Mus musculus: one gene and its partners. The protein of the gene in region 1 binds, or shares a complex with, the protein of each later gene. Links are inferred from orthologs where the notes say so. Each region holds a gene or a part of one and is shown on either strand. Other genes may lie near its edges.

Region 1 (7,832 bases):
TTTAGAGCTAAAAGCTGTTTAAGAACTTTCAATCTTCTTTCTTCTTTTTGAAATCTAAATTTAATAAAGTAATTCAATGGCAAAATTAAAAAGAAATTCCACCAGGAGTAAAAATAAATCAAGGTAATAATATGTAGAATTCCTCACTCTTCATTTAACATCTCTGTAAGCCAGTAACATAATCAAACTACAGACAGAGTACTATGAGCTGGTGATTAACTAACTCAAGATACATTATCCAGCGCTATCTAAGTCCTAAGTGTAGTTTTACTATTAACCGGCATAAGTGCCAAGATATAGTATTTGACACAATCCAAGCAAATAAAAATAAATACGGTCATGCACTTCAGCACTGACCTGAGTCCTGGTTCTTTACAGATTATTCACATAGTACCAGCAGAAAATCCAGAGACTTTTAAAAAAGACATCCTAAATTTTAATTAAACATAATGATATATATTCTGTACTTTCTAAAGGACTATTCATGACAAAACAAACATTAAAAAACAAAACAAAGCAAAACAAAAACAAAAACAAAACCAAAGAGAACCCAAAACCACCCAAGAGATCACAAGAAAGGGTGCAATCCAAAAATACTAAAAGCGAAAAATAAGCCCAATTTCTTTTTTTTTAAATAACTATTTATTTATTTTATGTATATGAGTACACTGTAGCTGTCTTCAGACACACCAGAAGAGAGCATTGGATCCCATTACAGATGGTTGTGAGCCACCATGTGGTTGCTGGGATTTGAACTCAGGACCTCTAGAAGAGCAGCCAGTGCTCTTAAACCTCTAAGGTATCTCTCCAGACCCCTAAGCCCAATTTCTAAAAAGAAAAAAAAAATATTTATGCTGTTACCTTTTCCTATTTGTAGTCTTTTAGTTAGTAAAAATGTGTTTGAATTTTACCTTTCTAGAGACCACACAAATTAAACAAACATTATATAAGAGTTCAAAGAAATACGTATAAAATAGTCCTATGACTACTATTATTAGAGGAAAAAAGGAACAAATATTAGTCAACAATGGTGTGACGGTTTGAATATGCCTGGCCCAGGGAGTGGCACTATTAGGAGGTGTGGCCTTGGTGAAGGATGTGTGTCATTGTGGGCATGGGCTTTAAGGCCCTCCCTGGAAGCCAGTCTCCTGTTTGCCTTCAGAGCAAGATGTAGAACTCAGCTCCTCCTGCACCATGCCTGCCTGGATGCTGCCATGCTCCCTGCCTTGAGGATACTGGACTAAATCTCTGAACCTGTAAGCCAGCCCCAATTAAATGTTGTCCTCATAAGAGTTGCCTTGGTTGGTGCCTGTTCACAGCAGTAAAACTGTAACTAAGACAAATGGGAAGTATACAACTCTAAGAAAAAGCAGATACCAAACCGCTTGAAAACCACAGCCATTCATTATCACAGCAATTCTCTCACCTCTGACTTCCCTTTTCAGTTTCAATTACCTACAGTCAATGGTAGTCCAAGGCTATTACATGCTCAATTCCAGAAAGCCAATGTACCTTTAAGACTTTACTTATGAACCATTCTGAGAAGCAGGATGAAATGCCCCGATTCTACCCAGACCGTGAATCATTCTGTGTCCAGTGTATCCATGCTGTATACGTTACCTGCCCTGTTAGTCATTTACCAGTAACTACCCTGATCTGCAGATGTCACAAGTCCTCCTTCAAGTCATCTTATTTTAGTTAATAATGGCTTCAAATCACAAGAGTACAGATGATGACAATTTCATTACATTATATTTCCACAGTTGCTTTAATTATTGTATGTATTCATCCTTATGTGCATTGGTGTTTTGCCTGCATGTATGTCTATGAGAGAGTGTCAGATCTTGGAGTTATAGACAGTTGTGAGCTACCATGTAGATGCTGGGATTTGAACCCCGTTCTCTCAGTGCCGTTAAACGCTGAGACATCTCTCCAGCCCCTAATGGCTTTATTTTATTATTAGTTATTGTTAACTTCTTACTTTGTCTAATTTATAAGTTAATTATCATAGGTATGTTTATATAGGAAAAGACTGCTTAGGAGCTACTCAAGGTCTCAAGACTGGAGGCCTTCAAAGTGTCTCCCCTGAGGATAACAGGCTACTGTACCAATGGTGCTCAACCATCAACTTTAATCAGTCAATACATGTGCATGACAGTTTACAAGCTGAACAGTGAAACCCAAAAGAACTGGCCTTTCCTCGGTAAACAGCACTAGATCAGTTCTCTTAAAAAGGCAGTACCAACTTCAAACATTTTAAAGCAAAAATGAATCTTAATTGCAAAACTTTATATCCAACCAAAGAAGGGCTCTAGAAAGTGAGTACAGAATTCCTTGTAGGAAAAGAAAAAAACCCATATAAAACACAATCTTATATATAAAACATATTACTAAGCACCTTCTATGGAAGGAAATGTTTCTACTCAGTTTAATTTTATGAGGTTATAGCAGAACTCTAATTTAAAAGGACAAAAAAACCCCAAACCCTCTGTGGAAATAAGGAAATGTGTACTGCAGGCGCTCCTATGGTAGAACTTATTAGGCAAACAGAGTAAGGCGTTCTATTTAAGGGAAGCAACTGAAGCAAAGAGGTGGGGTGTGTAGACACTCCTGGGAAGCACATTGGTCAGAAGTGGAAGAGAACATGACCAAACTGTGAGGCTTGCACTGTCTGGCTGAAGCACCTATTAGGCTCTGTGTGTGTGTGTGTGTGTGTGTGTGTGTGTTTTCCAATGGGAAACTTGTAGGGTTATTATTATTCTTTTTTTCCAACAAAGAAATAGCAAAATTACATGTTAGGACAAGAAACAGGCAGCATCACACAGGGCCAGATGAGGAGACAAGGTGAAAAGTACTGCAAAAACTCAAAACTGACTAAGGAGCCTCTCTGCCCACTCAGGACATCAGTAAATATTCTGTGCACCACAGATGTCCAACCATCTAGGTCTGAGAATGAGGCTGGGGTGTAGCTCAGCAGAGCAGGAAGCAGGTGAGGGCAAGAACTGGGGTTCAACCATCAGGATAAAAGGGAATTCTGTAACCGTGCAAAAACAGAGTTTATAACACATTTCTAACAGTGGAGAAGACTATATTTATATTCTTGCAGATTCAAGTAAACTTTGCTCTGTGTCTTTGGAAAGGTTAAAAGCTATGGGAAGTGTTATTTGCTTTAGAACACACACACAAAGCGAGACCATCGTTACAAGGGTAGATAGATCCCTCCACACTTCATAACAAACCACCGACTGTATTGTGGTTTTAAGTAGAATTATGTGCCACAAGTGGGATTCAGAAACACATGGCCATTTAAGTGCAGTAGCTGGTGCTTTGAGATTAGGGAGTAGTCTCAATCCCACCAGTAGCCTATTAATTACACAGTTTTAAAAACAAATGCCCACAGGTGTGTGGGGTGAGGGTGGGGGTATGTATGTTTGTTTGTTTGTTTTTAGGTAAGTCTTGGAGTACTTTATGGGTAAGAAAGGTGAAGGCTGAGGATGTGGTTTGGTTTTGCTCGGCATACACCTGCCCTGGATTTGACCCTAAGCATGTATGGTGCACACCTGTAATCACAGCACTGGGAGGATGGAGAAAGAGAATCAAAGAGTGCAAGGCCAAATTCAGCTATCTGAGACCCTGTCTCAAAACTACACTGAATGAATGGAGGGAAGGAAGGAAGAAGAAAGTCAGCCAGCCATTTCATACCAGGTGGAATTTGTGCACATATTACAGCCCAGTAGCTGTAATCCCAGCTACTGGGCTGAGACAGGAGGATTCCAAGTTCCAGGCCAGCCCTAAACATTTAGCAACAATAGGTCTCAAATAAATGAATGAATGAATTAATTAATTAATAAATGAATAATCTGGAATTACCTCAGTGATAGAACTCTTGCTTAGTGTTCACATGGTTTAGAGTTCAAACCCAAGTACAGAGGAGGTGAGGTGTGGGGAGCCACACTATATATAGTGCATTACCTTTGTAACTAGCCTACTATTAAATCTCAGGTTTACATCAAAACATACTTGTAATAGTGTATGTCTGACCTACTGAAAATTCAGCTAAACTATTTTTCCGTGGGACACGCTTCCACAATACTCCACAGTCTCTGAATTCATAACCAGTCCAATCCTCGAATTGTAAGTTAGAAATAGTTTGCAAGAGGGGCCTATGAATGCCTAGAACCGGCCGGGCATCCCTGAACTCCCCCACTGCCCTCAAGTCAAAGGACAGGAACCTTCGCTTTTGAACTTAGGCGGAACGAATCTCTGCTCTTAGCACGTCGAAACCCCAGGCAAAAGTGCTCTTTACCAGAAGCAATCACGATGGTTACTAACAAGCCGGAAAATCTTCAGTTTAGCCTTCCAAAGAGGCAGTCTGAAAATTCTGCTTCGCTGGTGACAAAAACTTACAACACAAACCACACAGCAGTCCAATCAACACAAAGCACCGAGAGGAGAGTCAAGAACTTACCTATTCTAAGTCTACCCGGCGTTTAAATAATGCATTAAGGCAAATAAACATTGCCATCATTACTCGTTTCAACAGAGTTCAAATGATACTTGTTAAAGCCACCTAATTGTTTACCATTAAAATACAAGGAAATTACGTTTTCCACTTTTCATCTGAAGATACTAAGTTTACAGCTTTCCGGCTAAGATCTCAAACATGTTACGCTTGCTATAAAGCTGGTTACAACGATCTATCAGTTTCGCTTGCCAGTAAGTCTGGGATCCGAAAAGTTCAGGAGTTTAAATGTGACTTGACAAAGGTGTCTGGTGTGGAGACCCGGGGCCGGCGACGTGCCTGGGATTCGAATCCACTGGGATTCGGCTTTGTATCCACCGTCTGTTACGCTCGGAAAACGCGTGAAGTCGCTGCATCCCAGCAAGTATTTTCAAGGTCTGCAGAAGCCCGATCCCCAGTCTCCCCTCACTTAGGGGACAACAGCCTAAATGGTGCGGGTGCGAAGCCCCCCACGGAGCTCCCGGGTCCCAGCGTCACCCGAGCCCGTCGAGCCTCGGTGGTCCAGAGACCCCCGCCCCACGCCCCCACACACCCCACTGGGTCACCCCCTCAGGCTCCGCTCACCTCCCTCCGGCCCGCGGCTCCTGAGAACAAGGAACCGCTGCAGGGATGAGCGCCTCTGGCCGTAGACTAGGAACCGCGGCGCTTCCCCAAGTCGGGTCCCGGCGGCGACGCCGAGCCAAGCAGGGGCACCGCGGGAGGCTGGCGAGCGCCCCGGGCGCCCGCCCCCGGCAGGTCACGTGGGCCAGAGCTTCGGCCTCCCCCTGGCCTCTCAGAGGGTCTCACCGCCAGCAAGGCTCCCTCAGCGCCTGTACTCCTCTGCGCCTGCGCCTAGCTCCAGGCTCGCCCATTCAAACTGACAACGCCCCGCGTTTTTTGGACCGGCCAATGGCACCGGTGGGGCGGGGCTAGGCGGGTGGAGGGCGGGGCTAGACGAGCCAGGGCTCCCTCCTTCTAAAGATCTGTGTGTGGGGTTTGCCTCTCGGACTGTAGCGCTTGATTCTCCTCTGCTGCGGATAGATCCTCCGCCAACTAGAAGCTTATTGTCCTCGAATTTCTCCTTCAGATGGCGAAAAGTGGGACAATAAACATCAGAGTTCAAGCTGGGTCTAGTTCAGACTTTGAACCCAGGAGCCCCAGTCCACTGCCTCTTTCCCTGCAGGCTCAGTCCCGCCCTGGGAAAGTCTTCCAAGAGGCAGATGTGAGAAAGAAAGAGGCCTGTGTGAAAGGAACAGAGGGTCCCGTGTGAAAGTCTGAACAAGGAGCCTCAGTTCTTGAGGCAGTGTCACACACAGTTCTGGCGTTTCCAGATGTTGGGAAAGCAAACTTCTTCTGACTGCAGGATCGCTGGTTCCCAGGAAAAGCAGAGATGGCGAATTTAATCCGCTCCGGCGGCTTGCATTCCCATTCTATTCATGCCTTCATATCAAGTTCACCAAAAAATAGATCTTAGCTTGTTCATCAAATGTTTAAACTAGAGTCTCTGCTGTGAAGCTGATGACGTTGGTTACATTACATTATCTATAGCCACTGCCTATTTCTCCACTGGGATGAAATTTTAATGTTTTACAGGATTGGGCACCTGTTAAAGAAATTCTAGTTTCAGCATCTCTGTGGTGATGGCCGTGACCACTATATGTGTGTCATGGAAAACTGTATAGAGATAGTGTTAGCACCAGCCAGACCTGGGTTTGAATTTCAGCTCGGGCCTCTTCCTACTGACTGATTTTGAACCAGTTAGGCGTCTGTCCTCTGTAGCCTTAGCTTCCTCAGCTGTAAAACACAGATAATGAGACCTCCTCTAATAAGGTCTGTCATGATGCTTCAGGAGGTAAAGTTTATGAAATGGTTAACACAGCTGCTGACACATCGAAGCTGTTCAATAAGTGGTTCTCTTATTATTATCAGCGAGCACCCTTAATACCAAGTTCTTATAAAAAGCTGAATTAGCTGGTTGTACTATTTCAGAGGTAGATATTATAATTCTTCCATACTCATAAATTCTTTGTGGGAATTGGTACAGTAAACCACAATAAAAAGTATTTTAAATTCTGCATAGCCAAAGCGAATCGTTTCTTTCCTGTGCCCCCTTCTCTCATAGATTGGACTTTTTATCTCAGCTATCAGCAATGTCTATCTTCCTAATCAGTTGAACTGTTTTGTAAATCTTCTTTCCAAACGCATGCATCCATGAGATTGTGCCATTCTTCTACTTGAAGACATTTAATGGTCAAAAAACAAAACAAAACAAAAACAAACAAACAAACAAACAAAAAATAACAAGAGTCAGGTATTGTCTCACATACCTTTAATGCCAGATCTTGGGAGGCACAAGCAAGTGGGTCTCTGTGTGTTTGAGGCCATCTTGATCTATGCAGTGAGATCCAGGACAACCAGGGCTACATAGTGAGACCCTGTCTTTTAAAAAATAGAATATATATTTATATACACCTACTTTTTAATAAGTGTAGTTGAGAGTATTATATATGTAATATAAAATCCACACAGACTTTGAAACTGAAATATGACATAGAATATTTAATATATTTAAAGAAAGAAAAGCATGAGAATAAATGAATCAAGGACTACAAAAACCCAAAACTCTCTATATAAACCATATATAACTATATATGTATATATTTATGATAGCTTATACAAATATCCTCAGAGGACAGAAGGGCAGCAGAACCTAGCCCACACAGACTTTGAAGTGCAAAACGACATAGGTAATAAAATAAGGAAGGTTAATGTATTTAAAGAGACAAAAGCATGAATCAAGAACTGGAAAAAAAAGAGACAAGAACAGGAAGGTTTTCAAAAGAAAAGGAGAATTCCAATGAAACTTTTAGTATAATAGGGAAGCAACTGACATTTTAAGTTCAGTGCACAGGTTTGACAAATTAAGAGATGAAAAGTGAGCCATGCATGAGGTGCAACTCAGGAAACCATTCTCAAACAAAAGAGAAACGAGGAAAGAGACTGAGATGCCCCAACACGTTTCCAGTTAAAACCTAAGATGATGGGGCTGGAGAGGTAGCTCAGCACCACGTGGTGGGTTTCTACCCCTCCAGAACTCCAGTTCCAGGGGATCTGACGCCTTCTTCTGACTTTCTTGGGCACCAGGCGGGTGGTACACCAGGTCAAACGCTCATATAATGTTCTAAAAAAAAAAAAAAAGTTTAATTCAAAAATAAGGCTGGGAACACAGCTCAGTGGCACATGTTAACTCCCAACACCAGAAAATAAAATAAAATAATATAATATAAAATAAAATAAAATAAAATAAAATAAATGGCAGGGTATAGTGGTG
Region 2 (7,235 bases), on another chromosome or scaffold:
TTTTGATTGACTTCTCAGGCTTTCCAGGCCCAGAGAGGTGAAAGCCAGCAAGAGGTCCAGCGCCTCCAGACCCAGCTGAACGAGCTGCAGGCCCAGCTGAGCCAGAAGGAGCAGGCAGCTGAGCATTACAAGCTCCAGGTGAGGGGCCAGGAACGTCCTGCTCTGCCTTTCTTCCTGACCCTTTCTAGGCTCTGCCACACACACCCTGTCTGTCCACACAGATGGAGAAAGCCAAGACCCATTATGATGCCAAGAAGCAGCAGAACCAAAAGCTGCAGGAACAGCTTCAAGACTTGGAGGAACTGCAGAAGGAGAACAAGGAGCTGCGGTCTGAAGCTGAACGTCTGGGCCGTGAGCTGCAGCAGGCAGGGCTGAAGACCAAGGAAGCTGAACAGACCTGCCGTCACCTTACAGCCCAGGTGCGCAGCCTGGAGGCCCAGGTAAGAACCTACTTTAAACAGAAGCACCTCACCCCTGTACTGTTGTACTCCATATCTCCTCTCCAAGGCCACCCCTACTCTAGGCTTTTTATTTTACTTCCTAGGTTGCCCATGCAGACCAGCAGCTTCGTGACTTGGGCAAATTCCAGGTGGCAACTGATGCCTTAAAGAGCCGTGAGCCTCAAGTGAAACCCCAGCTGGACTTAAGTATTGACAGCCTGGATCTGAGTTTGGAGGAGGGAACCCCATGCAGTGTGGCTAGGTTAGGAGACATGCCTCTCTATCCTGTGCCTGTTCACTGAGTGTGCGCTGTTCTAGCCTGTGGTTCTTCTACGACAGATGCCTGCTTAGGGTACAGTAGAAGTGAAAAAGAGGTGAGGTGGGGCAGTTAGGAAAGCCTTGGGGGAAGCTTTTCTGAGTTTTGATAAACTGTACAGCTATGCAGAGGTGGATGAGCAGCCTTTAATGCGAGGCCAAGTAGGCCTGCGAGCCTAGAGGCTGACTGCACTAAAGACTGATAAACTTCAGAAGTGCTGAAATTGAGGACTACAGGTTGGATTTGCATCTTAGTTTCCTGACAGTATTGAAGTCAAAGGTTAGCAGTACAGTTACTGTTTCTATCAAATGTGTACTGTACTGTGTGCCAGTGTTCCCAGTTCTTGGAACAATTACAACTTCAGCTTTCTCCTAGCAACCATTTTAGGCTCTATTCATTATCTCTCCTTAAACAGATAGAATTGGGCTTTTGGGGGATCCACAGTGATAGAGCCAGGTCTGAGCCTGGCAGCCTGTCCTGAGTTCTTGCTTATCACTACTTTATAGTGTCTCATGGCAGTCTAGGTCTAGGTGAGATGAACTGAGGCTGAGGGAAGGGAGTGTGCAGCTAGGAGAGCTTCTTGGATGTTGACCATGGTTGTGTATGGTAGAAGATGTCCAATTACACCCATGTTCATGTGAAGGTGTCCCTACTTAGTAAAGTAGGAGATAGAGGAGGAAGAACATGCAGAGGGGTTTAGGGTAGGCCCCATTAATTGTCGAGCAGTTGTGGCATCTGCTGGGGGGGAGGTCTGGGCCCATAGCTGTCTGACCTGAAGAGCAGGGTTTGGGCTAAGGTAGAGAGATCTGAGAGCTGCTATAGGAAAGGGTTAGGAGCAGCCAAGAGTGGACTGTCAAGGCCCCCTTTTGCTATCTCTGAAAGACCAGTGGTACTGTATTTTACCACATTTACCTGTAATAAGATTAAGTCAGTTTGGGGCAAGGAGACAGACATAATGTCTTCTAGCTCAGGGTCTGCATCTCGGCAAATGTCTTTTGCTACAGCAAGCTGCCTCGTACCCAACCAGATGGTACCAGTGTCCCTGGAGAGCCAGCTTCACCTATCTCCCAGCGCCTGCCCCCCAAAGTGGAATCCCTGGAGAGCCTCTACTTCACCCCCACTCCTGCTCGGGGTCAGGCCCCCTTGGAGACTAGCCTTGACTCTCTGGGGGATGCCTTCCCTGACTCCGGCCGTAAGACCCGCTCTGCTCGCCGCCGTACCACACAAATCATCAACATCACTATGACCAAGGTTAGGTTATTGGGCATAGGACTATTGGATATTAACACCAGTTCCTTATCCAGGGCTCATAAATCAGGAACACTCAGGTATGAACAACATCTTTTAAAAGGGCATAGATTTGTTTATGGTCTCTTTTCTTCTTAGATTGATTTTATATATACAATTGCTCAGTTTTCATGCACATCAGAAGACTGAGTCAGATCCTATTACAGATGGTTGTGAGCCACCATGTGGTTGCTAGGAATTGAACTCAGCCAGAGTCCTCTCTCCTGTCTGACGGAAGACAGAGCAGGATAGAGGAAATAACAGCTCATTCCGAGCCTCTGGCACGCCATGCAGCCAGGATGTAGCTTGGTGTGGCTCTCAATGGTCTGCTGCTTCTAGGCTTAGATTCTCTTTTTTTCCCTGTCTCTAGTGGGCTGAGGAACAGGTGGGAAGGTGCTTTTATGCCCTCTACTACTGAGAATTTGGGGATAATTAGTTTAGGCCCCAGGAACCGTGGGTCTAGGGACAGCAGAGGTTGTGGGCTGAATCCATCTAGATAGCTTAGGAGATAGGGGTTCTGGCTCTTAGCCTAGCTACTTCCTAGCTGTGTGAGTAGAGGGTACTCGCCTTGCTTTTATCTCTGAAATAGGCTAATAATGCCTCCTTCAAAATGTTGTGGTAGAAGAATCTTGGCATCTTCCAAGATGCTTCTGGCTGTATGGCCTGTTTCCATACGCAGTGTAAAGCAGTGTGGTATCTGAGAGCTTTGGGGCAGAGGGAGGTGGTGCTGGTTTATAGTATTGCTGCAATGATTTGTCCTTCTAGAAATTAGAATTGGAAGAGCCAGACAGCGCCAACTCATCCTTCTACAGCACGCAGTCTGCTCCTGCTTCCCAGGCCAACTTGCGAGCCACTTCCTCCACTCAGTCTCTGGCCCGCTTGGGTTCTCCTGATGATGGCAACTCCGCTCTGCTTAGCCTGCCTGGCTACCGGCCTACCACACGAAGCTCTGCTCGTCGCTCCCAGGCCAGGATGTCCAGTGGGGCCCCCCAAGGTGAGGAAATTACAGGAATTTACCAGAATCCCAGTCTAGACTGGAAGCAAATCTTGGCCTGGAAAAGAGGCAAGCTTCCAAAAGCTCAAGGCAGGCCTCCTTACTATGCCAGAGCTGCTTCCCCTCACTCACCTGTGCCATCTCCTATCTAGGACTGCAAGGGAACACACTGAACCAGGGATGCTCACTAGTTAAGATTTCCACACAGTTCCTAGTGCGAGTTGATTCTTGGGGGAGTCCTCCAGGCTGCTGTCTGAGAAACAGTGGGCTTGGTAAAGTCAGGCTGCCCAGCAGTTTCTTGGAAGTTGTCCTTAGGATCTAGGGACCCTCCCCGGTTATCAATTCATGACCCTCAGTTTCTCTTGGTGTGGGGCACCAAGCTTTGGCAAGTGAATAAGATGCTACAGCCTCTGGTCATGAACTCTTTCTGATCTCCCCTGAGAAAGCACCTCCATGAGACAAATGGTTTGGTACGGCACTTTTGCTGTGCAACATCAATACAGAACTTGTGTATCTAGCCCGAAGTCCCCACTCCCAGAAAGGTGGGAGTGAACAGTGGCAACAAAAGCCTGGCCAGATTAGTAGACGGTGTATTAGCTGCCGTGTTTGCCCTAACTTTCTGTGCTCCATAGGGAGGAATAGCTTCTACATGGGCACTTGCCAGGATGAGCCCGAGCAGCTGGATGATTGGAACCGCATCGCAGAGTTGCAGCAGCGCAACCGAGTATGCCCCCCGCACCTGAAGACCTGCTACCCTCTGGAGTCCAGGGTGAGATGTGAGGTCACCTCAAGACCTTCCACACTGACTTTAGTGGCTAGCCTGAATATCTAGTCATAGATATTTTTGGTCTACTGGGAAGGTCATTCTACTGGAAGGTCATGGAATAGCTGTCACTCAGGAGTGAAGTCAGATATGACTGTGCTTGGAATTGTTAGCTATCCATCAAGTATAGGTCAACATGAACAACAGGAAGGAAGGAGTTTTAAGAATCCAGCTTTAGCCCTAGTTCTTGCTCTATACAGTTGGGCCCATTGACTGTTGCCTCTTGTCCCATGCAGCCTACCCTGAGCCTGGCCACCATCACTGATGAGGAGATGAAGACTGGAGACCCCAGGGAAACCTTGCGTAGAGCCAGCATGCAGCCAGCTCAGATTGCTGAGGGTGTTGGCATAACTACCAGGCAGCAGCGCAAACGAGTTTCCTCTGAGACCCACCAGGGCCCTGGCACTCCTGAGGTAGATGATGTGTGCATCTATTTTGTCTTTAGCACTATACCCAGGCATGAACCAGCCCACCAAATCTTAGTGATAGGGAAGTCTCTTTCCAAGGGCAGATATACAGACCGTTGGAAAGGCCTTTGTCAGAAGTAGGGAGAGCATGTCCTTTTGCCATTATCTGCCCAATTATCTTGTCTCACAGTCCAAGAAAGCTACCAGCTGCTTTCCACGCCCCATGACCCCCAGGGACCGGCATGAAGGACGTAAGCAGAGCAGCACTGCTGACACCCAGAAGAAAGCAGCTCCAGTTCTCAAACAGGTTAGTCCAGGACCCAAGGGGAAGAAGGAAGGCCAAGTGAAGCCTTGCTGGCAGAGCTCAAAAGTAGCAGTCTGACAGACCTTCCCCATAGGCGGACCGGCGTCAGTCAATGGCTTTCAGCATCCTTAACACACCTAAGAAGCTGGGAAATAGTCTTCTAAGGCGAGGAGCTTCAAAGAAGACCCCAGCAAAGGTCTCCCCCAATCCTCGCAGTGGAACCCGCCGTTCTCCACGCATTGCCACCACCACAACTGGCACTGCTACTGTTGCCACCACTCCTCGGGCCAAGGGCAAGGTAACGCAGTAGAAGGAAGACCATCCTCTAGACTACTCCATAGGGCAGCATTCGAGGCAAGCCCAAACCAAACCACTGGAGGAGGGTGGGATGCAAGAGGTATCTCTGTCTTGGCTAGCCACTCATAATTGAGGACCCCACATTTCTTAGGTGTGGCTGGCAACTCATAACTTAATGTAGGTGTTTATGAGACCCCAAAAAGGAAGAGGTCCAGCCAGGGGTTTTGTGAACTAGTCAATAGAGGTTGGCAACACAGGACTTAATCTGGCCAAGTGACTGTCTTTTCCTTTTCAGGTGAAGCATTAAAGAGTCAGCACCAGTGCTTACGTGGCCCCACTGCATTGTCAGCACTGACCTTGCTTGGTCCTTTCCCTCCTGCTGTCCCTCAGTGCCTTCTCTCAGCTCCCAGGCCAATGGCGGCCAGCCTTCCCCAAGACAATGAGGTTTGCCTGCACCCTGGCCTGCTACCTGGACTTTGCCTGGTGCCTTCTAGGCGTCTTTCAGAGATGGCCCAGGAGGCTTGGAGCTTGGACAGTGTGTGGTCTTCTCCCTATCTTGCCTCCTGATTTTTTTTTTCTCCCTCCGTTGTTGTTTTGGAAAAAAGTCTACTTTTCCATCTAACTAGATTGAGACTGGATTCTTTAGCCCAGTCTTCCTTAGTCTCTGGACCTAGAAGGGACCATTGGAGAAGCAGGCTCTGCTTCTCTGTTGTTCCTGGTGGCTGGGCCTTAGCAGGGGTCTTTGCTCTTGAAGCCCAGGATTGGGCATGACCTGGTAGGAGCCTCTGTTCTTACCTATTTCCATATACAGCTGCCTGGAGGATGCTTTTTTTCCAGGACAGATAGGTTCTGGATCTCAGGGGTGAGATAGGGGGCAGCCTTCAATGGCAGCTCATACTTCACCTTCCCCAGACTTGCACTGGGGTAGGATATGGAACGATGGGGAGGTTTTTAAGGGCCGGGGATGGATCTTTTCTAAATGTTATTACTTGTAAATAAAGTCTATTTTTCTCCCTTGAGTGCTAAGCTCTTTGGGTCAGTATGAGGAAAAAGGGGAAATTGCAGCTCTTTGGAGCCTGTGTTTGGTCTTTCTGGCCCCTGTTCCTAACTAGTATTATGGACTGTTGCAGGGGTTCATGTTATTCTGAATTTTTATTTGGCAAGAGGCAGTGTCTCATGCTGCCTGAGTCAGGCAGAGTTCCTGAGGACAGTACCAGGGTCTAAATAAAAATGAGACCTTGAGCTGCTGCAGCTTTATGAGTACTCAGTGTGGGCCCTGCAGAGACACAGACTGACATATACAGTTGTGACCTGACGCAGCCACTGTTCCGTCCTTGCCTTGGGGACAGTACATTAGGGGCAAACTAGGAAAACAAAATCACATGTAAAGATTGAAGTCAGTGCAGATAGTGGTCAGAGCTGAGTGGATGTTGCCAAAGTTATATCTCAACTAGGCTTCGGGTTAACCTTTTTGATTGGTACAGGATGTAGAAATCTGCCAGATAGGCATCTCAATTTCACGTTAAGTGTAAGCAGAGCTATCACTTGGCTAAGGTGTCATCAGGTCTCAGAGGTTCCAGAACACCAGTGGGATGAATAAGACATCAGAAAAGGTAAACTGGATGGATGGACAGGAGGACAAACAGGAAGAACTCTAAGGACTTAATTACTATGATAATCTAGGGTAGAAGTGAAGCTTGAGTTTGAGGTTCAGCAGCAGAAAGGCAATCACAGCCTATGGTGTAGACTCCACCCTCCAGGTAGATGAGAGCCAGGCTCTGGTCAAGGTCATGGTGTGGTTGGCTTTATGCAACCCCTGGGCCTGCTGATCTGGATACTGGGCTGTGGCTAGAGAGGGTTTCTTGAGAAGGGGACGGAGCTGTCTTCAACCCATCCTGGAGAAGTAAATGCACACATGGTCAGAGCTAAGGAAGAGCTCTTGCCATCACTTGCTGTCACTGCAGTCCCATGTTCCTTGCTTCCACCTCTGGTAGATCTCAAAACAGTCACTAGCTTACAGGTTGTACTGGAAAAGCCAATCCTTCCTTCCCCAGGTAGTAGCGTTCCTCCCATCCCTGGATGCCTTCTTTCAGGTTCCTTACCCAGAGCTGGGCCAGAATGATGTGATACTGGGCCACTTGTCCAGGATCCACAAACAAACAGGAGAAGTTGGTACTTCGTAGGGTGGGGCTCAGTTCTTCCAGCACCAAGGCCCTGTGCAGCCAGGTGCTTGTGTTCCTGTGCTCGCGACTGGAAAGCAGAAGGAAATCGTGAGAGGGTTGCCGGAGTTGGGGAGGAGGAAGGTCTTTCTTGTAGCCCCACTGCTAGGTCCCTTACCTTGTGTGGCCCTCCTTCAGCCGGCCTGGG
Region 3 (7,235 bases), on another chromosome or scaffold:
CCTGCGTCCTTAACTTTAGCTTTCAAGCCCTTCAGTCTGGCAGTTGCTGCTGCCCAGAGCACGGAAGATCAGGGAGTTGGGGCCAATGATGATGTGCTTGTCAGCTATGAATGTCTCCTTGTTTTACTTGATAGAAAAATAGACCCAAGAAGGCCTGTGAACGTGGAGAAGCAAGGCTTGCTTTCTTCCTTCCTTCCTTCCTTCCTTTCTTTCTCTTTCTTTCTTTCTTTCTTTCTTTCTTTCTTTCTTTCTTTCTTTCTTTCAACTAATCCCTCTCAAAACAACATCTTCATTGGTTGTCAATGTTGAAACAAACTGGATCTAGCTGATATCTGACATTGCTCTTCAACAGAAAACACAGAAATCTGCAGATCTCATAAAAGATGTTGAAGGTGTCTCCAAATAGTATTTACTACCATGAACAAGCACATTTTAATATGCTATGTGCATAAGTATAGAATAGTTGTTTTAACATAATTGGTGCCCTTTTAAAGCTCTACATTAATTTTCTATGCATTTAAAAATTACTCAGAAGATGGGGCCAATGAATTCAGAGTGGATGGGGGGTTAGAAGGGGTTAATGGGGGTGAGTCTGCTTGAAATACACTATATACACATGTGAAAATGTCAAGAAAGGATTTGTAGAAGAGGTTAAAAATTTTCCCCAGACTTCCAAAGGCACAAAAAGATAAGAGTGTCCAGAAGGTCCAAGAATAAAAGCAGGAAATTTTTTTCCCAACTGTCTCCACAACTATCTCCACAACCTACAAGAGGAAGTGGCACATAAATTCCCTCAGCAAATATTTGCTAGATAAGAGTTATAGCACTTTGATCTACTCAACAACACAGCTCACCAAGGTACAGCGAGGTCAGGCCCACTGATGGCAATACCAGCTGCTTCTACAACTGCACAGTGCCCATGTGGAACTCCCAGAAATGAGCTGAGCTCAGTGAAGAATGGGGCAAGAGGAAGGCTTTGCAATGACTCAGCCTGAAGGAACCCTCCACCCACTGCTTCTCCCATGTGTACATTGAGGGCCAAAGATCTGGCGTTCTCTCCTGAAAGCTGACAGCTTCTCCACAAGCCCAAACTTCGGTCTGTTCTGCCACTCTGCTCAGTGGTTCATCACAGCCCATAGGAAGATAAGTGTGAACAGAGCATGTGCTGCCCATCTGCTAGAGCAGGTTAGCTCAAGGTGAACCCCTAGTACCCAGAAGTGTGATGAGCCTAGGTGGGGTTCAAGGAGGAGATCTTAGCATCTGGTGGAGTAAGCCTCACTACCTGTCATGCCCTCTGTAGTCATGTCCACACCAGAGGGCCTGGCAGAGGTTTCCTCCTGGGAGTAAAAGGAGAAACCTTTCTCATAATTGTTCACGTTGGACAGACAGCTGTCCACTTCCTGGCCCCTGTGTTCTGGGGACTCCATGATATCAACACTACCACCTAGCAGCCCTCCAGCACATGTCTCTGGTTCAATCTGCTGTTGGGAGCCCCTAGAACCTAAAGGGTCACTGGGATTGTGGCGGTTGGATGGATAACAGCTTCTCAATCCTCATTTTGCATATGGGTCTCAACATACTAATAGGAATGAGCATCAATCAGCATTGCCATTTGGATATGAGAAGGAAAAGCATGGGGAGGCATCAAGGCTTATATCCAACTGTGACAGAACCAGCTGCCCTGGCCTTAGTCTACCTTCCTTAAAACCCTGAGGTAAGCTGAAGGCAGGCTGAGAACTCACCAGGCAGGCCACCAGGACAGCATCACTACTGTTCCTCTCAGAGGGGGACCGGCAGAGCTCAATCAGGCGAGACATACCTGTACAAGACACAAGCAGATCACAACTGGGTTAGACAAGCCTGGCCAGGTGGGATGGAGGTGCTGGCCAGCTTCACCCATCGGACATGTTAACGCATCGTACATGCTAGCGCCTGTCTGCAGAGAAGAAGCTGAACCACCTGGAGGAATATTTCCAGGAGACTTTCTACTTCCTGCTCAAGGGCAATAAAAGTACAGTGTTGAAGTCAAGCCCACAAGTGCGAGAGCAACAGCCTGGGCTGATGGTCGCCAAACACTGCAGGCATGTTGCCTGTTTTCTCTGAGCAAGGCCTTTGGAGTACACACTTGCTGATTTACAAGTGCAATGTTTACCATTCAAGCCTGTGCACTGAGGTCTCCAACTGACATCTCCCACCTACATCGCCTCAATTGGCTATGTCAGTGAGAAAATATATCTTAGCTAAAAGTAGAGAAAAAGATAAACCCCGTTAACATTTCCGAGAGGTTTACTGAGAAAATGTTGCCACAAGCCACAAAGAAGATATGTGACCTTGCTAAAACATCCATCAACCCACACAGATACGCAGGGCCTGTTTCTTCTACCAGATGTGCTTTGAGCATCAGTCTCCCGATTCTCACGTGCAGACCATTCTCCTGTCACCATTCAGGGAAGGTATTGTGCACCTGTAGGGCAGTGGTTCTCATCCCTCCTAATGTTGTGACTTTTAATACAGTTCCTTGTGTTGTGGTGACCTCCAACCATAAAATTATTTGTTGCTACTTGGTAACTGTAATTTTGCTGTTGTGTAACATAAATATCTGTCATGTAGAGGTGTCTGATAAGTGATCCACGGTTGAGAACCACTGTTCTAGAGCTTATTATAGGATGGAGGTTCTGGTGATATTCAGGCAAATAGGAGGCTAATAACAATAAATAGAATAAATAGATATTCTGAGCATAAATAAGTGAATGGTGACTAGATAAATAATGGAGTCAATGAATTACTGAGAGGATAAACGTATGAATGCAGAATGAATGAAAACAGTCGATAAAAGAATAAATGGTTAAGCGAAGGAAATACTCAGGTTCTGAGCAACAGGAGCCTGCAGGTGAGCTGCTCTTCTGGCCAACTTTTATCTCTCATTACAATTTAGACCAAGGGCTATGCCCAGGGTTTCTACCCTAGCATCTCCCAGCACACAAAGCATGGGGCTGACCCCAGTTAGTCCTAATACGCTGCCCTCTGACAGCACCATGAGATCACTACTTTCATCCCAAGCTTCCCATTCCACTCCAGCCACAGCCAGCGCCACTCACAGCTGAGCCGAACGGCCTCCTGGGCCACATCTGGGTCTCGGCAGAGGCGGGCCAGGGTCACTGCAGCTTTCTGCTGTACTCTTTCACAGGCTGCCACTTCAGCAGGTGTCCCAGACCTTGGCTTCTCAGACAGCATGCCCATGATGAGCTGGACACCTGGGCAAGAAGCAAGGACAGTTTGGACAGTTTAGTCTTACTCCCAGGGTAGAGCTTCCCTAGTGGAGCTAGCTAGACAGGTGGAGGACTCGAGCAAAGGCTTGGGGTAGGGGAGTCTCAAACAGAGGTGCCAGTTAGATATGGGCACCTCTTTCCTTTCCTACTTCATAGAGATGTGGGATTCTAGGCACCAAGTCACCAACCTGGAAAGAAACATCTAAAAAGACACCCCCACTTTTTAAAACAACATTATTGACTTTATGGTATGTCTCACACTGTTATATGTACAGGAAACAAACAGTCCCCTCAAACATCCCAACAGTCTCATGGACATGACCATGGTAATTCTACTTTAAGGTCCAGAATGAGTAAGCCTCATGTCCAAAGCATGGGGATGCTGTGTGAAACTCAGATAGGGCTGCATCTGAGACAGGTCAAAGGTACTGAATCCTATAGCAGGAGGTGTCCCATAGCAGGAGGGTTTAGGCTGGAGAACCACTACAGCAGTTGCATTCCAGGTGGGAGTGCCAGCCAGAGGCTCTGTTTAGTCACTTAGGGTCCTCCTGTCTCCTCCCCAAGCAAGATCTGTCTCCTGATTGGTCTATAAAGCATATAAAGCGCGCGCGCGTGCGCTTACACACACACACACACATACACCATCAGCCTGCCTTTGCCCACTCTTTCTGTGGGGAACGCCCCTTTCCCTCTTCAAATATCTTCCATTGTACAGGTTTTCAGCGGAAGCCTGTCTTCTGTGTGAGCTGCCCCCACCCCCAGCATCCTAGTCCCAACCAGCTGGCTGAGAACTTCAACTAAACGTGATCTAAAGATAGGTTTACTTCACAGTGTTGCTTCAAGAATTATGTTGTCTGTGAGCTGTTGATTTCCATAATAATCTAGACTTCTGGTTTGTAACATTTACCTGCTGAATTGGCAGTAGTGACCCCACATATATCTCTATATGGCCAGAAGCTTATTGTTGTTGTTTGTTTCTGATTTTGTTTTGTATTATGATAGGGGTGTGCTGGGTATCTCAGGCTCCCTTGGAGCTGACTATGTAGCTGAGGTTGGCCTGGAACTCAAAACCCTCCTACTGAATTCTGAGATTATAAGCACATGCCTACACACCTGTCTTAAATTTACTATTATTAATGAGATTGACCGAATACTTGTCCACTTTGTCCATTTTCATTATGTGCCTGGATCCTGCAGGCATCTATGTTTACCACCTGTGACTTAGTAATGGGTGTTCAAAGTCAGACTATCTAACAGGGTTTCCCCTTCTAGAGACCTGGAGTCTCCTGGCTTCTAGTGGCCTCTGAGTACATCACTATCATTCGGATTCCTCAATTCCTGCCTTCCTCAAACTCTCTGCATGAAATCCTGGGAGGCTCACACTGTTTCCTAAAAGAAAAGGTAAACCTGGTGCAGGGCTCATCCTGGGTATAGACACTCTCCTGACACCACTCTTCATGGCCATCCTCACACACTCCTGTGAGCAAACATTGCTATTCCCACTTTTTAGAGGGAAGAGAGAGAGCCCATACTGTTTGTAGATAACAGAGCCAGGATTTGTGCCCACCAGGTGTGGCTCCAGAGTTAACACTCTGCTACCCTCCATCCTCACTCGGTGACTGTACTGTTTTAGATGGCCTATCTTATACATCAACACTTCAGTCCAGGCAGGCCCTCCTTTTGGTCAGGGAAAGCCTTTAGGAGAAATGTGGGGCTTCATTAAACTCCACGTCCTCAATGTCCAGCACAATGCCAGGCACACAGTAGGTTTCTGCCCCTGTGGACTCACTGAGTTAGTCAACAGTACTTTGTAAGCCACAAAGCACTCTCCAGATGGCAGCTATCCCAAGCTCAAAGGCTCAGGCAAGTGGCAGCCTGCTGTCACTGGCCACTTGAGCCAAGACTCCAAGTGCCTAAGGAGAGTACAAGTGACACCACGCAGCCTCTCCTCTTGGCCTCAGCTGGCTCAGCACAGTTTCTCATTATTAGCTCAATCACATGAAATTAACACAAAATGGTGTGTTTCAATTAGTCTTGGGGACCGGGGAAGTGTATGTTTGTTAAGACAGCAGGGCAGCCTGGGGGAAGGGACTTTCAGGAGAGCAGAGGTACCCAGCCTCCCAGCTCACTCTCTCATTAGTGCCTCTGGCCTCCGACTGCTTGCTAATTGCTCCCTTATTCCTCCATCACAGGAAGCCCTGGCCAGCCTAGCTCTGTTCCCAGCTGCAAGGCAGCCACCTTGTCTTTTGACAGAGACTGCTTACAACAGCCTTCAGGCTGACAAGCCCAGCTCCACCTCCCCTTGACCAGGAACACACAAGGTGGAACAGAGAAGGCCAGTTGGAAGTAAGGTCCTCTGGGAGAGGGGTAGAGGCGGCTGTCCTTCCCTCCCCCTCCCCCTCCCCCTACCTCCTTCCCACACGTTAGCTTTCCATGGAGGCCAAAGGCAATAAGGCAGTTAAATAGCAGTGTTACCCCACTTTGGGACAACCTTACCTCCCTCGCTGCTTTATTGTCCCCAGACCACTATCCCTACCTGGCATTGTCTTCTATGTTTTATATCTCCCACTAGAATTTAAGCCTGTGAAGGCAAATAAGCGTTTCACTTTTGACCAGGTTATACACAAAATTCTCAATCTCTCTCTCTCTCTCTCTCTCTCTCTCTCTCTCTCTCTGTGTGTGTGTGTGTGTGTGTGTGTGTGTATGCTCATACAGACATATAAACATATGTGCACTTATATATGTACACATGGGATTTATACAAGCCCACAGGCATATACCCTGATAATCCATGCAGCGTTCCCAGACATACCGTTCTCCTGAATGATGTCAGAGCCACACTGCTCCAGCACAGACATGTTTGCCAAGATGGTCACAATCTGGAAAACAGAATTGAGAAATTATAAAACAAACACGCATGGTCCCCATGACACTCTCTGTGGGTAGGTTATATGGGGACTGCAGAGCTTCTGTCAGCCTGGATCCTTACTATACATCTGCCTAGCCCTTCCATGGTATTGTCTTCTATTACCTTACATCATGGGCTGCTGCCACCCAGATGTAAGCCCCAGTGATGCCCACTAGTCAGTGGGTGGCTCTAGGGTAATCATCTGGGGTTCCAGTAAAAAGCAGACTCACAACGAATGAAGTTAAGATCCAGTTGTTTGAATTCAGAGACCCTCAGCCTCACCCCTACGATTCTAGACCCCTTTCTCTCTTCTGTTCTGGCTTTGTCTCCTGATTCTTTGATCTTTGATTGGGTTCCCCCATGTCAATTTCCTTTCTTGACAATGACCTTCTACCTGAAATGAATTAAGGCTGAGCTCCAGCCAGAAGGCAAGCTGATGAGAAAGTTCAGTTTAGCTACACTTTAGAAACCTCTAGTCTACCATCCTTACTTACAGATCGCCATTAACCCTCACAGTGACACTGTCATTAATGATAGAACACTAACATTCCATGGACATCCACCCTCAGTTACTGTCTCTTGGGCTATAACACTTTCCAGTCCTTACAGCGGGATAAAAGGGTCGCAGTGAACTCATAGCATACATAAATAAATATTTAAAAACTGGATTAAGGAATTTTCAACAAGAGACCCAAACTGTAAATGGTGCCAAAAATTAGATAGATAGAGAGATAGTCAAGGTTAGGAGTGTGGTGCTATAAGCAGAAATGGCCCCTGACACCGTACCTAAAAGAAACCATACAGTGGCAAATATGCCTGTCTCTGCAGATGCAGCCAGCATGTACTGATGGTGATTGAAATTAATAGGAAGATCTAAAGGATTTCTCCCCAGTGGGAGCCCACTCCCCAGAGAGCTTTTTCATAAGCTGGTAAGATAGTCTAACCAGGAGCCATGCTCTGCCTCTGAGCTGGCAAGTGATAGCCTGCAGAGGACAGCACGGGAGGCTTCAGTCCCGAGGATGGATGGTAGAGCAGCATTTGCCAGGAAAGAGCATTAG
Region 4 (7,235 bases), on another chromosome or scaffold:
CAGACACACGCACACACGTACACACACGTACACACACACACGTACATGTTTCATACCTTTTGTTCTGATTTGCCCAAAAATTGATGTCTCTTAAGTAGTTTGATTTGATTTTTTTTCAAGCCTGGTGCTGGTGGCCTTGTCTTATAATAGTTAACAACCACCAATATTAGTTGATTCTCTTATCTATTATATACATGTGTGTGTGTGTGTGTATGTGTGTGTGTCTGTGTCTGTGTCTGTGTCTGTGTCTATATCTGTGTGTTTCCTACTAAAACCTAGCATTTCTAGCCAAGACAGTGGTTTGCTTAAATTGTTTTGGGATTTTGACGAGATTTAGGATGAGTGAATGGTACAAAATCATCACTACAGAAAGGACAATACCTCTTGTTAGAGTTAGCAAGGGAGTTGAAAAGTCATATGTGATTGAAGTAAATTTTCCAGTCTTTGCTACTTAATGGTGATCATCTATACCTTGTTGAAAATTCACCTTTGATAAACATTCCTTATGTATTCAATATAAGACAGATACAGATTCTAATCAAATTCCTCATTTTAAATGGCACGAAAGCCAACATTTTTGAAGTCTCTATAAAGATCAGTTCTATCTAGATATTTGTAATTCATGAAACTCCATAGATTCTCAGAGTTGCATTAGCTAAATGAGGATTTTTATAGCAAACTCAAACCATTTCACAGTGATTGGAGATGAGAAAGTTCACTCTCCCTGAAATTCTGAAAAGAGTAGAAGAAAGTTGAGAGTGGAGGTATGCAAGGCTGCTTAAAAGGTTTTGCAGAGATCTCAGGCAGTTCCACAAATTCTATGTCCATTTGAGTCTCCTGTGTCATTAGAAAATTTACATACCACACTCTTCTTTGCCTCTAATCACAGTTGGGAAGTATCCCTCACCTATTGTAACCTCTCAGTGAACAGACATTTCCAGAGAGCAATGTCTCGCCCTGTTCTTACTTACTGAATGGATGAACCATGTGTACCTACTCAACATCTCCCATCTCTCTCTCTCTCTCTCTCTCTCTCTCTCTCTCTCTCTCTCTCTCTCTCTCTCCTCTCTCTCTCTCTCTCACACACACACACACACACACACATTCACACTTCTCTTACAGAAGCAATAAGATTTGAATCTTGATGTTACATTTCAGTCCATCATCAGAAAACATGAGATATAGCAATATACTGCCCTTCTTCCTGAAGAGTTTTTCTCATACCCCATCTCCCCAGCAATACAAGCATCCACTGGGGCTGGAGGCATAACTCAGTTGGTAGAGAACCCAGAACACTGGATTCTACCCCAGCACTGCATGCACTGGCCATGGTGGCACACAGCAGTAATCCCAACATTCCAGAGTTGAAGTTAAAAGGAAGTTCAAGAAGTTCAAGGTCATCCTCAGCTAAATAGGAAATTTGAAGATAGCCTAGGATATATGAAACTATGTCTTAAAACAGAACAAAACAAAAAGCGTTCTTGTCATGTGCCTTTATCTCCACAGTAGAAAGAGTTCCCACCCAGTGGAGCCCACAGTTAAGCTTTCTTTTCTTTCCTCAGCTCTCTGCACTACAAGCTAAGGTCCACTATCTCAAGTTCCTCAGCGACCTGCGACTATATGGGGGCCGTGTATTCAAGGCAACATTAGTGGTAATTTTATTTTCTTTCTTTCTGTCTGGAGTCAGAGGCATGCCAAACATCTCAGCACAGGCTGTCTTCAAGGAGTTGTCCTGGATGATAAACACAAAGAAGCTCAGAATCTTCCTTGTTTTCAATACTAACTGACTTCACCACACTCTGAAGATAACTTAAGACCTGTTCAATCTAGATAGCTTTGCTGGAGCAGCCCTGGGGAAAAAATGGAATCAAAGGACTCTTACAATGGTGTCTTTTCAATCACTGAGATAGAAGTGGGGAAAAACCCTTCTCACTTCTAAAAGTTTTGGATATATATAAATATATTGTATCATGATAACATTTACTTTCTACGTTATTCATAATTTATTGGCACCTCCATACACTCATATATGAGTCCACCTAATTGGATGATTTAATGCAATGTAACCCAGAAAACCTTTCCAAAGAATATGTCGTGATATTATGAAAAGAGTCTCAGGCTGAGTTAGATGATGCTTCAGAAGTCCAGGCTTTGAAATATTCTGTCATTCTCTTTCCTCAGCAGGCAGAGAAGCGCTCAGAAGTAACTCTTCTGGTTGGTCCCCGGTATGGCATAAGCCATGTCATAAACACCAAAACCAATCTGGTGGCTCTTTTAGCTGACTTCAGCCATGTCAACAGGATTGAAATGTTTACTGAAGAGGAGAGCTTGGTGAGGGTGGAGTTGCATGTGCTAGATGTGAAGGTGAGCCTATCAAATGTTGATCTGAAGCACTGGCTTGAGCAGCTCATTTCTGATAGCCTTGATGGTACTCACCATGCATGAAAGACTTAATGTGTGCAAGGCCTCCAAGATGCCACATTGTGAGAAAAAAGTAAATAATAAATTCATACAACTCCGGTCTAGGTGCTCTAGTCCTCATTAAATTGCTGTGTGATTGGGGACAGCTTGTTATATTTCTTTACACACAGTTTCTCCATCTATACATAAAAAAGCAAGTTATATCATTTCTCAGTCCCTTCTGGCTGTAGAATACTGAATCATATATCACTAGGGAGAATGTGTTTCCACCACACTTTCTAGACTGGATTTCTCACGTGGAAAGTCAGTGAAAGTTCCCCCAGCTAGTTAGAATTGTCATTCATTCTCTTTGGTTAAATTGGGATACCCAGTCCCAACGCCAGGCCCAGTCTGGCAGAGTTGGAGGAATAGATTCAGGAACACCGGGATGACTGTAAAGCATTTCTTCAGAGCAAATCAGAATGCACCTGCATGTTCTGCAGCAGGAACATGTTACCATGACACAGCATGGAAGCTCACGTGTCACCCGTGCACATGGAATGTCATGGCCTTAACCCAGATGGCTCCTCTTGACTTCTTAGCCAGACACAAGTGTGGCAAGATTGGTGGAATGCCTATCCTAGCTCATGGCCCAGGATGCTGGGAGAAAGCCACATTGAAGGGAATGGGCACAATGAATGTGAGCTGGATGTTGTTACTAGTAAAAGGATTAGTAGGTCCCACAACAAAATGAGTGAGGAGACCCGGCTGATGATCTAATACCTACATGGGTTGGCTGGCCTAGAGGCTGAGCAGAGATGTCAATTCAGATAGAAAGGTCAGTTTGGGGATTTTGAATAGGAAATGTTCCAATGACCAGAGTCCTCCTGAGAGCTAGATATCTGCTCTTTTGCTGTCTTGGCCCCATTTGTTGTCTGATGTAAACTTATTGCCTCCTTTGCTCTTTCTTTCAACAAGAACATATCCCTTCAAGCCAATGAGAATGACTGCACCATAAGCACTTCCTTCCACACACCAAGATACATGGCCTCTTAGGAGCTCATTGTTTCCAGTTTGAGCAGTGTCTCTTCCCAGCTCCCAGCTCCAGCTTGCATTTGTGTAAACCAACAATTTCATTTTAGAAGCATCATTTTCTCGGGTCTCTTTGGTGCTCCCCATCCAGTTATAACCAATATTTCGACTTGTGATTTCTTTCTCTTGAACACTCATTTTCACCACAGAGCTCACATTTTAAAAATGAATATGCATGCATGTGTGCATGGAGTGGCTTTTATAAGCCAAAAAGATGGTATTGACTGTCCTGGAGCTGGAGTTATAGGCAGTTATAAGCCACCTGAAGAAGGTACAGGAAACCAAGCTCTTTTTTTAAGTGGTTATTTTATGTATTTACATTTCAAATATTGTCCTCCATTCCAGTTTCCCCTCAGCAAACTCCCTATCCCATCACCCTCTCCCTGCCTCTATGAGGGTGCTACCATCACCCACACACCCACTCCTGCCTCACCACTCTAGCATCCCTCTATGCTGGGGCATCAAGCCTCCACAAGACCAAGGGCCTTCGCTCCCATTGATGTCAGATAAGTCAATCCTGTGCTATATATGTAGCTGGAGCCATGAGTCCCTCCTTGTATATTCTTTGGTTGGTTGGTGGTTTAGTACCTGATAGCTCTGGTTAGTCTAGTTGGTTGATATTGTTGTTCTTTCTATGGGTTTGCAATCCCCTTCAGGTACTTCAGTCCTTGCCCTAATTCTTCCATTGTGCTCAGTCCGATGGTTGGCTGCAAGCATCCACATCTGTATTGGTGGTTCCTGTATAAAGGAAACCAAGCTCTTAACCAGGGCCTTCTCTCCAACCTTGAATCTCTAAAGTTCTCCCCTGATTTATGCTTCTCCAGAGGAATATTTTCTCAGTATCTTCTTTTCCTTATAGGTCATAAGAACTTATAAATACTTTCAGCAGGAAGACATTAATGAAAATTTTGTTTTGTTGTGCAGCCCATTACACTACTTATGGAGTCATCAGACGCCATGAACCTGGCCTGTCTGACAGCTGGATACTACCGGCTGCTTGTGGACTCCAGGAGGTCAATATTTAACATGGCCAACAAGAAAAACGCAGGCACGCAGGACACAGGTATTTTCTTTCTAAATTCATGATCCTCTTCCCACACACCCTTTGAGAACGTACCCCAAAATAATAATAATCAGTAGCAGAGTTCAATAGGAAAGTGCTATACCTAAGGTTGCTGATTCCAAGGGCTGGGGAGATGGGAAATACATTCCACACAATCATGGGGACCTGAGTTCCAAGGGCCAGAGTGCACATAAAGCTAGATACATAACATGTGTCTGTATTCCCCGTGTCCCTACAATATGAGAGGCAGAGACAAAAGGATCCCTGTGAGTTTGTGAGCTAGCTAGCCTGGACTATACAACTCATAAGTGAACAACAAAGATCCTGCCTCAATCACAGGAGAGGACAAAAACCAGAACCTAATGTTGATCACTGACATCCACATGCATACCAGAGCATATGCATACCTACATACACACATACACACACAAAAAAAAACACACACACACAGAGATACATACACACAAACATATATACACACGTACATACATGATACACACAAACATATATACACACACATATATACATGATACACACAGATACATATACACAAACATATATACATACGTACATACATGATACACACAAACATATATACACACACATATATACATGATACACACAGATACATATACACAAACATATATACACACACATACATACATTATACACACACACACACACACAAAGAAATTGTGATAGAGTGCTTGCCTACCAAATATGAGAGTCTTGGTTTAATCCCCATTAGTATCAAGAAAAAAAGAAAAGATAAGGTTCTATCTATAAAAAAAAATATCTAACTTCCAAATATAACACAAAACTTTATGTACTGGTAACATTGATTAACTATTAAAAATAAACATGCTGATTTGCCCATTTCATCTGAAAAGTCTCTTGGAAATGACAGGGCTCATTTCAAAAGCAGTGGTTTTATTGCTGTGAAGTCTTGACAGCCTTTTCCTTTTCCTGCCTTCCTTCCTTCCTTCCTTCCTTCCTTCCTTCCTTCCTTCCTTCTTTCTTTCTTTTCTTTCTTTCTTTCTTTCTTTCTTTCTTTCTTTCTTTCTTTCTTTCTTTCTTTCTTTCTTTCTTTCTTGTTTTTTTCTTAGTGTTTGGTCCTAACCTAGTCATATATACTAAACAGAAACTCTTCCACTAAGCTGGTTTCATGGTCCTGTAGCTACATTTTCACTGTCTCACTCTTGAAATGGCTGGGACTCTGAGAATGAAGCCCCCTGACATAGAGTTTTTGTTTCTTTAAATTCCTAGGCTAGAGCTTTGACATCTTATAAACTCACTAATTGTACTAATTTGCTTTGTATGTATGTATTTATGAATGTATGCATGCATTTAGTGAGACAGAGTATGTAGCCCAAGTTGGCCTAGAACTCACTATGTAGCCCAGACAATCTCAAGTTATAGCATTCCTGACTCAGTCTCCAGAGTACTAGGATTCTCAGTGTGACCCACCACACCTGTTCTAGACTTGGATGTTCTAGAAAGAACTTCTTCCACCCTTGTGCCATCCAGGCAAAGCTAACAGAGGTCACTCCAGCCACTTGATAGGAGAAAATATTCCCATAGATGGGACAAAGAGGATGATATATGTTAAGTTGGCTTTTGCACTGAGTGTAAGTAATTATAATTTGTTTTATGACTTTTGCTCTAGTCTATATTTTCTTCTGTCTGCAGTGGATGCCCAATATATGGCTCATAGATACCATCATGCAAGTCAGAAGATGACATATTTAGAATTAAGGGTCTTACAAATAGGACTTCTTTTAAAAAATGAGAACTACATGCTAGACAGTGGCACACCTGTAATCCAAGTACCCAGGTTTTACTTGGTGTTAACTCACTCAGGATCTTCATGAGTTTGAGGGCACCCAGACCAAGGAAAGCTAAAGAACAAGACTATGTGTCAAAATGACAACAATAATAACAACAACCAAAGAATTGTAGGGCTTTTGAGCTAGCTCAGTGAGTAAAGGCATTTGCTGCTAAGGCTAGAATTCTGAGTTTGGTCTCTATGACTCATGTGGAAGAAGGAAAGAACCACCTTTTGAAAGTTGTCCTCCGACCTTTACATGCTTCCCATGGCATATGTAAACACACACACACACACACACACACACACACACACACACACACACACTCATTGTCACTATCTCTAGGGGAGAAAAAGGAAACAGCTTTTTTTATTTTCAAACTGAGCCCCAAACAATAAATCTTCACTGTAGTATGTAGATATATATTCATGTGATGTTTATTATTATAGTCAGGGGGAATAGAAGCAGTTTTAGCCATGAATAAGGCGCAGCCATACAAAAGAATAAGAAGGAAAGATAGACAAAACATTCTTAGAAGGCAGCTTTGACTTTCCAGACCACTTTAAGTGGTATGGGTTTTCAAATTTCTCCAAGTTTGAGTTTCCTCATTTATATAATTTGGCTAAAATTTTATTTTGGTAAGTAAGAATTAAGAAAGGTATATATATGTACAATGTTAAAATGATGTTCAGTGATTCAAATCATAGTCAGTGGGGGATAATAGAAAAATAACAATGAAATTCAAAGAAATGCAGAGGGGAGAGGAATACACAAAGAGGCAATGAGAGGCTCTGAGAGATGAAAATGACTAAAAATGATGAGAAAGGGCCCAGGGTGTAGCACAGTAGTAAACA

What was found.
Region 2: the proteins of Gpsm2 (region 1) and Numa1 are in contact, whole or in part, in a crystal structure (PDB 6HC2), measured with the Homo sapiens proteins. The link is inferred for Mus musculus from reciprocal best matches to the Homo sapiens genes GPSM2 and NUMA1. Residues at the interface, in NP_001307967.1 of Homo sapiens: Ala28, Leu29, Glu32, Cys35, Lys36, Phe47, Lys59, Thr60, Ser62, Ala63, Ile64, Ser66, Gln67, Asn70, Ala71, Phe73, Asn110, Lys113, Tyr146, His153, Lys157, Pro164, Gln165, Arg203, Gly206, Asn207, Asn210, Tyr213, Leu214, Arg228; in NP_006176.2 of Homo sapiens: Ser1901, Phe1902, Tyr1903, Met1904, Gly1905, Thr1906, Cys1907, Gln1908, Asp1909, Glu1910, Pro1911, Glu1912, Leu1914, Asp1916, Trp1917, Asn1918, Arg1919, Ile1920, Ala1921, Leu1923.
Region 3: the proteins of Gpsm2 (region 1) and Insc are in contact, whole or in part, in a crystal structure (PDB 3RO3), measured with the Mus musculus proteins. Residues at the interface, in NP_083798.2 of Mus musculus: Asn210, Tyr213, Leu214, Phe218, Arg242, Ser246, Asn247, Asn250, Ile253, Phe254, Tyr265, Gln283, Tyr286, Ser287, Asn290, Thr291, Thr293, Leu294, Arg323, Trp326, Ser327, Asn330; in XP_006507722.1 of Mus musculus: Val72, Asp73, Ser74, Val75, Arg77, Trp78, Met79, Asp81, Leu82, Lys83, Leu84, Met85, Thr86, Glu87.
Region 4: the proteins of Gpsm2 (region 1) and Frmpd4 are in contact, whole or in part, in a crystal structure (PDB 4WND), measured with the Homo sapiens proteins. The link is inferred for Mus musculus from reciprocal best matches to the Homo sapiens genes GPSM2 and FRMPD4. Residues at the interface, in NP_001307967.1 of Homo sapiens: Leu25, Ala28, Leu29, Glu32, Asp57, Lys59, Thr60, Ser62, Ala63, Ile64, Ser66, Gln67, Asn70, Phe73, Tyr74, His85, Asp88, Ala92, Gly100, Lys103, Asn107, Asn110, Thr111, Lys113, His128, Arg143, Tyr146, Asn147, Asn150, His153; in NP_055543.2 of Homo sapiens: Gln988, Leu989, Leu990, His991, Ser992, His994, Met995, Glu996, Met997, Glu998, Pro999, Glu1000, Thr1001, Met1002, Glu1003, Thr1004, Lys1005, Ser1006, Val1007, Thr1008, Asp1009, Tyr1010, Phe1011, Ser1012.

What each region holds. Positions count from the first base shown.
Region 1 is NC_000069.6:108,716,955-108,724,786, forward strand, and holds the start of Gpsm2 (G-protein-signaling modulator 2), read right to left. Parts: upstream 5,346-7,832; 5' UTR 5,087-5,345; intron 1-5,086. UniProt on the Homo sapiens protein: Plays an important role in mitotic spindle pole organization via its interaction with NUMA1. Required for cortical dynein-dynactin complex recruitment during metaphase. Plays a role in metaphase spindle orientation.
Region 2 is NC_000073.6:102,009,073-102,016,307, forward strand, and holds the end of Numa1 (nuclear mitotic apparatus protein 1), read left to right. Parts: intron 1-18; coding exon 19-138; intron 139-221; coding exon 222-440; intron 441-544; coding exon 545-702; intron 703-1,760; coding exon 1,761-2,007; intron 2,008-2,808; coding exon 2,809-3,037; intron 3,038-3,669; coding exon 3,670-3,806; intron 3,807-4,096; coding exon 4,097-4,273; intron 4,274-4,457; coding exon 4,458-4,574; intron 4,575-4,665; coding exon 4,666-4,869; intron 4,870-5,163; coding exon 5,164-5,175; 3' UTR 5,176-5,887; downstream 5,888-7,235. Other genes in the region: Il18bp (interleukin-18-binding protein), read right to left, coding at 6,878-7,118, 7,206-7,235. UniProt on the Homo sapiens protein: Microtubule (MT)-binding protein that plays a role in the formation and maintenance of the spindle poles and the alignement and the segregation of chromosomes during mitotic cell division.
Region 3 is NC_000073.6:114,841,036-114,848,270, reverse strand, and holds part of Insc (protein inscuteable homolog), read right to left. Parts: intron 6,149-7,235; coding exon 6,082-6,148; intron 3,255-6,081; coding exon 3,099-3,254; intron 1,820-3,098; coding exon 1,743-1,819; intron 1-1,742. UniProt on the Homo sapiens protein: May function as an adapter linking the Par3 complex to the GPSM1/GPSM2 complex. Involved in spindle orientation during mitosis. May regulate cell proliferation and differentiation in the developing nervous system.
Region 4 is NC_000086.7:167,484,116-167,491,350, reverse strand, and holds part of Frmpd4 (FERM and PDZ domain-containing protein 4), read left to right. Parts: intron 1-1,562; coding exon 1,563-1,652; intron 1,653-2,181; coding exon 2,182-2,364; intron 2,365-4,416; coding exon 4,417-4,555; intron 4,556-7,235. UniProt on the Homo sapiens protein: Positive regulator of dendritic spine morphogenesis and density. Required for the maintenance of excitatory synaptic transmission. Binds phosphatidylinositol 4,5-bisphosphate.